Drosophila melanogaster: one gene and its partner. The gene in region 2 interacts genetically with the main gene of each other region. Each region holds a gene or a part of one and is shown on either strand. Other genes may lie near its edges.

The links.
Region 1: of dap (region 2) and Skp2, changing one suppresses a phenotype caused by changing the other (phenotypic suppression), as found in Drosophila melanogaster (one study listed by BioGRID).

What each region holds. Positions count from the first base shown.
Region 1 is NT_033777.3:4,335,633-4,339,556, forward strand, and holds the start of Skp2 (S-phase kinase-associated protein 2), read right to left. Parts: upstream 2,043-3,924; 5' UTR 1,975-2,042; coding exon 1,916-1,974; intron 1,711-1,915; coding exon 837-1,710; intron 777-836; coding exon 377-776; intron 314-376; coding exon 154-313; intron 98-153; coding exon 1-97. Other genes in the region: CG1103 (uncharacterized protein), read left to right, coding at 2,440-2,671, 3,412-3,872.
Region 2 is NT_033778.4:9,710,311-9,714,234, forward strand, and holds the start of dap (dacapo), read left to right. Parts: upstream 1-2,010; 5' UTR 2,011-2,629; coding exon 2,630-2,793; intron 2,794-2,852; coding exon 2,853-3,253; intron 3,254-3,924.

The DNA of each region.
Region 1 (3,924 bases), on a different chromosome or scaffold from region 2:
CATTTTTGGCAGTTGTTTCTCAAGGACTTCCATTGCAGTGTCCGACAGCATCCCAAATATGTCTAAATAGGTTAGCGAGGGCATACTCTTAAGTTCACTGCAAGGAAAATGACTGGGTAGGGATTAATCAGACGCTTGCTGGAAAAATCTTACATAAATTTGGTTGCTGGAATAAGATAGCATCGGGAGACGGACAAATATTCCAGCATCTTGAACTTCATAATTGCAGTAATGACTGTTGGTGTTAGACTATTGCAATCAGATAGATCAAGCTCCAACAACTGAGGACACCGTTTTTGCAGGGTTGCAACATCTAAACAAATTAAATTCAAATCAAAAAGGAAATATATCATTGAAGACGGTGGGAACTACTTACGCGAGTCAAACAAAACGCGGCGGCAGCCAGCGATATTGAGCCGAATTAAGTTGGGGGAAATGTGGGTAACCAACGCCGTAACAGCATCCGCACTTAGGTCAGTCCACGATATGTTTAAGCTGCTTAGGCTGGTAAGTGACTCCATCATCAGGCGAACACTGTTGGACGTCAGGCCACTAGCCATAGTCAGATTGACCGCCTCCAAAGCTTCATTCTTTGCGATCTCTGCACAGATGTCATCATCGAGCTCAATATTCTCTAAGCTTATTTTCTTTAGCTGGCGGCAGTGGGACAATAGTGTCAGCAGTGAGCTTCGGGTGATGGAAGCCATACTCAGGTCAAGATATTGTAATCGGGTCCTAAACACTTCTGTATATGGTGCAAATGCGGGCTCCTGGATCTACAGTTCAAAGATTAGATGCTCTTGTTTCCCGAAAACATAATGTTAGATGTAACTTACACTAGTCTGGGCCAGACGTATTACAAGGACTCCCCGCCGTACAATTTGCTCGAGGGCACCTGGTCTAATTGTCCGCAAACCCAAATCTAGCCTTGTCCACAAAGTCTCATCGCGAGAGCAGCGGTTAAAGCGTCGACAAACGGTAGCCATGCGCAGCAGCGTCTTCTTCGGGAGCCACTTAAAGATGTCAAGTAGTATTTCGTCTGAAAGTCTTTCAAAGTAGTTTATGCCGCTGTTGATGTGGGCACTCATGGCCGGGGTGCGAAACACAAAGAAACTGTCCGCTGCCACTATTCGGGTTGTAATATTTGTTGTCGAGGGCTTTTTTGCCTGGCGAACTTGCGCCAACCTGCTGGTTGATGGCTGAAAATTGAGCGAAGCAGTCCCATCAATCTGGTTGTTACAGGTGACTGCAGCCAGGGGGTTGCGCAAACGTTTGCTGGGCGAGTTTGAATTGCCGCTACCTTCAGAACCCAACGACGAGCGCTTAGCCTGCGCCAGAATCTGCAGCTTCTCGGCCGATTGACGGGACATCGACAGTGAATCCTCCACAGCTGGGCTATCCAGTGTGATGTCCCCCGTAGAGCCCAGACTTAGCCGTTGCGTGTGCTGTAGCTGGTGCGCCATGCGCGACACACTGGCGCACGGGGTCGTCTCATTTGAGTTGTCGTCGCTGGTGGCGCTAACCGCCAAAGCGATGGCCGAGAGGGCTGAGGAGCTGCTTTCTTCGGAATCAAGCATTCCGATTCCCATCTCTTCTAGGGCCTCAAAAGTTAGTGCCGAGGGCGAGGAAGGGTGCTCGTAGTGCGATGACTTCGTAGTGGAAACTAGAGCGCCCACAACAGAGACGTGGTTCTTATTAGTCGAGCGCTTTCTGCAATAGTCGAAAATTTATTAAAAGTGTGCAGTTCGATCGTGCTTCATCAGCAGAATGGCTGATGAAAGAAAGGGTCAAGAACCCTGCAATTCAATAAGTTACTTTCTTGACCTCTTTTGGACACTTGTGGCGCGTGTGACGTCACGCGACCAGTTCAGTGGTCTGCTGCTTGAACCCACACCCCAAGCAAAGGAAAACTCACCTGGTCACCGGGCACAAATTTTCCATGTTTTCGGAGCCTCTGTGCTTGCGACTGCTCATATTTACACGAAATCTATTTTTTCACCGCCGTAAACACAAAAACTTCGCGCTATTTTTGCATGGAACCAGGGTTGTCGAGCCATTTTGGTATGAGAATTGTATCGTTATCGAATATACTAGACGGGCCGTGGTTGCCAGACCAAATCCCAAATTAATGCTACCGTACTCTTTGAGAAAAAATATCCGCTCAGTCTTCTCTTCTGAGAAAAAAACAAGGGCAAGACAGTTTATATTAATTGTTTACCTGTGCAACAATCTTTTGTTCCGCGAACAAAGACTATATTTGCAATTGATCCCGCCGACATAGTCATAAAAGGGTAAGCAATACGCTGCAAGGCCACTGGCATTGCGTCCTCCGCTTACTAACGTTTCCTACTAACTTTCTTCGCTGCAGCTGGAGTCGGGCCCTAGACATTTCTTAATGGTGAAAACAGCATAGCCTTCTACATATGCCACCGGTCTTCCATGAGCATTATCAAGATGAGCTTGCACACACGGGCGTTAGTGTTCTCCACCTTCTTTGGCAGCTGCCTGGCTATTGGCCTCTTGCTCGTCAGCATGACCACTAATCACTGGGTGCGGGCCACTCCACGCCGCAAGAACTCGTCGGACGCCAAGGGTGAATTCAACTTCGGACTCTTCTTCGGCAACTACCACCTGAATCCCGGATTCGGAGTCCGCACAAATTCGGTTGATGGTGAGCAATCAAAGTAGCCTAGATAGCAGGGAAAACTAGATAGAGAGTGATCTTCTCATTACCTGCATCGTGAATTAGCCTCTTTAAACTTCTTGGGACGCTTTCTGAATGAATATACGATTAGGAAAATGTGCTGATTATTGGGGCATGTATTAGTTGAAAACCGATATTGTCCTGGATAAGACTGTTGTTAAAAATAGATTTACTTTTAAATTTGTTTAGTTGTGAAGATCACAAACATAATCGGGCGAGTTGATAAAATTAAATACCCGAATAATACTCATGATCAGTGCAGACATATCCAAAAATTAACCATTATGTATACTTTTCGATTACATTTATTTATCTTGCAGATCCTAAGGATATGCTTAAAAATTAAATTGTAAAAACCAAAATTGTTTTTGTTTTTCTTATTAATAATCAAGTGACACAACAAACTTTAGGGCTAAAGGGAAGTTACATTCTATTTAACAAAATTGAAAAATATTGAAATTTTTGGCGCAAAAAATATAATAGAAGCGAGGACATAGGGAACCATATTTTACTTGCTTTTATATAATATGGTTGAAATTTGGGGTTTACAATTTTTAAAATTGCAAGGGTATTATATTGCGAGCCACAAATATGCAACATAGAATAAAAACGTCGTGGAAGCTTAACAGCTTTTGGAGATGCAAATAAAATATAAAATTTTTAAAGCAATCCTGTTTAACTTTTGTTATTTCACACCGTATTTTCAGTGTATACCTTTGTTCGGACAGAAAATGACGACACTAGCTTCTGGCTCTGGCTACTTACTACCTTGGGCACCGGTTTCGCACTGCTGGCCTGCGCTGTGGCTGCCATCGCCGCTGTCCTAAAGTCAGCCTCTGCGGCCAAAAAAGGAGGCACAATGATGCTGCTCCTGACTTCCAACATATGCGCCGCGGGGGCGCAAATAGTGGCGTTTGTAGCTTGGCTCGTGCAGTTCTACCAATATTTCATACACAACGTTCTTTTAACTGAGCAGCAGCAGCAGCACTGGTACAGCAATGGACTGGCTTATCTTGGTTACAGCTTTTACCTGGTCGTGGTATCCACCGTCGTTGTGCTGCTGAATATCGCCATCCTGTTGTACGCCCAGCGACTCGGCCTCCGCAACCGCCAATGCCTGGAGGCGCCATGTGACGATAAAAACAAGACCGCCATAATGCTGTACTAAGGAAGGCGAGAAGGATTCCCAAATGAACCTCTACGAAGTTGCTTGGCAAACG
Region 2 (3,924 bases):
ATTCGAAATGAGTGTAACGTATATTTTATACGAGACAAGGCAGGACTGGGCTTTGTTGAGGTTTTAGTAGATACGAGATAATGTTCTACCGACCGCGCGACCTTTGACTAGGAAACACTGATGATATTTGCCTAGCCCTTATCTACTCGGGGGGGGGGGGGGGGGGCCATAGTTGAGTGCATATTAGGGAATTCGGATAAGATCCAATTCGATCCTACCAGCATTAAGGACTGCAATCAAGTGAATACCTTGAGTGCCATCCAATGCCCGCACGTTCCACGACAATCCTTTAGGATCTGCCCTCATAAGCGGGACACTTGAGAACCGCTTTTCCACCTCTTTTCTCAGCCTTTTTTTTTTTTGTTTTTCCGCGTGTGTTGACACAACCCATATAAAGCCAGGATATCCTGCTCGGGAGGAAATTACTTAAAGGGATCACGAACTCTTCCCCTTTCGAAAAACTCCTTCTTGAGTTGTTTATGTTTTCAGGCATGACTGCCGCCGAACGCCAGTAGAATTCTCAAATTTGTTATAAAGTGTGTAAATTCACGTTGCTTTTCTTTTTGAGGGAGGGTGTGTCCCATAAACAGAAAACCGAACCACAAGGGATCGGATCTTATGGGAGTGGAAAGGAACGAATTATGGATGGATGATGATGCTGCCTAATCGAACGTTCGTCAAACGATCTCTGCCTTTTTTGGGGTGATTGCACTCCGTTTTTTCTTGTTTTTTTTTTTCTCGGGTTTTTGTGTGGAAAGCCGATGGGTTTTCCCATTATTTCGTCGAGTGCAAAGGACAAAGCAAATGATGTCTTTAGTCTACGAATCTGACTTCCAAGGCTTTGTCCCAATTCTTTCCTTCTTATTTAATTGGATTTGTTCAAACAATATAAATCTCGTTTTATTGCCTTTGGTAGTGTAATTTAATTTTTTACGATTTTGCACACGAAAGGAAAAAAACTTTATGAAAATGCAGCACGAAATGAGCAGAAAACTTGCGTTTCACAAAGTGAACCATAACGGAAATTTGAAATACCCAGTGCTATGCAAACACCACAAGGAAATTCGAACTAGACGTGCACATTATTTTACATACATACATACATACATCGTACAAATGTATATTTGGTGGACCAGTGCCCCACAATGCAAGCGCGATTTTCCCCTTGGCAACACGAGGAAAGTGAAAAGAATTGGTGCCCCAAATGCCCCCTGCCACTTCCCTCCGACGACTAAAAATCCAGTTTGAGGCCAAACAAACCAAAACCATAACATCGTTTTTTCGTATCTTCCCATCGCAATCGCAACTAAAAGTACAGCTCCACCGATGCAACAACAACCAAGAAGGCAGCGAACAGAACACACGGATGGAAATGGCAGGGATGGGTAGATGGCGTGCGAGAGAGTGGGAGACATATGGTGAGAGAGAGAGAGGTTGTGGAAGTTGTGACGACTTTCTTGATACGCTCTATGAAGGAACCTTGGACAGTTTAAAATATAATTAAATTGGTTATTTCAAAAACATTAAAAATAAAATCTGGTTGAATACTGTTTACAAATGAACTATGGGCTTATGAGCTGTGAATATTATTTGACAGGAAATAATGAAAATAATGATAATAATAATAATAATAATAATAATGAATACGTATTATATATTGTACTATATGATGATTCCAACAATCAATAATTATATTAAAGCTCATAATATCAAAACTTTTAAACTCAGATGCCTTAGTTAAATTTTGTTAGGAAACTTTTATTTTTCTGAGTATTTTTTATACGTTTGCTATATAAGTTTAAAGAACAATTCAAAGGAAGTGCATTGCTCTTTCGATATGATTAACATTAAAAGCGCATTCTTTTTCCCTATCTCTTTCGCTCCTGCTGCTTTTCCGATCTTTTCGAATTCGAGGGTTGCTACAGAGAGAGCGTGAACCGCTCTGAATTTCCAGTTGGCAACGCCTCTGGTGGTTGTTTGACGTTTGCTTTTGCCCAGTGTTTTATTTATCTTTTATTCGTTTCTCCGAGTTCGTCGAGAGAGGTTCGCTTCGATCGGTAGCGCTATATTTAAAAATCTAGTGCGCAGTGCGCTCATAGCCGAAAAGGTTAACAAACATCGCTGTAAAAACGACTTCAAGTTGTAAAGACAAATATAATACAAAGGTGCTGCCATTGGCAGCTAACTCATACAAAAACTCCAACGAGACCCGCAAACGTTTCGTTTTGTGAGTCGACTAGCAGTGCAGTGTGTTCGAATCGCCATTCAAAGATAGTGACCAAGTGCTATTGGACCAAGGCATTTGTTTATAATTATTTTTATAAACAATTGCAGCGTGAAATTTCACTTTTGAACGCAGCAAGACGTAAAATAAGCTGCAGCACAACGCACACACAGAACACTCGCTCTCCCTCTCACATACACACACGCTCGCGTGTGGAGACCGTGATTTGTATTCGTGTGGAGACTGCCTCTCTCTCTTTTGGGGCTGTCTGAACACAAAGTTTTGGCGCCAAAAGTTTGACAGTTCGCTTTGGCGTGTAATTCGCAAACAAGTGGCAAGAAAAGTGCGTCTCAAAACAGAGTAGAAAACACTAGGGGATCCCAAAAAAATATATATTGACTCAACATGGTCAGTGCCCGAGTCCTGAATCCTGTGATGATCAGTGAGTTCTGCAAGATGAGCAGCAGCCCGGCGGTGAGTCGCAATCTGGCATGCGGTCGTCAGTTGAATCGCATAAAGCGTGACCTCTTCGGTAGCTCCAAATCCGCCGAGGGTACAGCCAACAAAACGTGAGTTTCTATAATAACAGTTGGATTTTGACCAATAGCTAACAATATATCCTCTTTAGACCCTTTAATTCCGAACTGGAGCGCCATCAAGAACTGGCCACGCAAAAATGGGGCTTTGACTTCCGCGCCGGCTGCCCTTTAGCTGAAAAATCACCCTACATTTGGGAGCGCGTCAGCTTCCAGGAGTCGAGCTTCGCCCCAGAGATGTACACCCTAACACGGGCCGCCCACGTACGCCCTTCCGCGGATGCAAGTCCTAGCGACATGGACATTTTGGTCAACGAGCGCTCAGAACGGGAGAACTTTGGCTCCAATCTGGTCAATTCCTCGCTAGAGTCGAACACGGATAATGAATCTTGTTACGACTCCCAGGACGAGTCGCTGGCAATGCGGCTTAGCTCCTCCAGCACGACAAGCACATCCTCCATAGTCCTGCGCAAGAGACAGCCAAAAATCACAGGTGAGTTTTGGGGGATGTTCTACACCATTTTGATCAGTAGAGCTTGACGGTTCCCAGGGTCAGGCTTCATTTCACTTCGATAGACGTTACAAAGTGTTTTCCCATAGCTTTCCTTTTATTCCCTGTTTATTTTCGGTTCTCAGGAGGAAGTTGAGGGTGTTTTTTTTTTTTTTTTAACTTATCAGGCTTGTTTTGTAATCGGACTGATACGATATTATTTTTCAAAATTATCTGTAGAGTAGAGAGTATTATCTAAAAATTTCCGAATATAGTGCTCGAGATATAAAAGTAGATTCGTGCTCTTTGTTTTGCAAACTCGATGAAAACGATTTTCATCAATGATTTTATGCCAAACCAATATTTTGTGCAGGATTTTGTACTTACAATACTAAACTCCATAAGGGGTTGTTTGATTGGTTTTAAGTCCACTCCTTCGCATTTATTGTTTATATTCACGTTTTAGTTGTGGGCGTTTTTCGTGAAACTTAGACCCAAATTATAGCAATTAGCCAATGCTTTGTGGGAGATTTATTTTCGTCCAGAAGGGTAAGTCAAAGCTGACTGCAGCTGTTTCAGCTCCTCATCTCCCTAAACCGAATGATTCTCTTCTGATCCTCCACAACGCGGGGGTTGGTTTCCAGATCGATAGCATGCGGGCTGGCTGGCTGCAT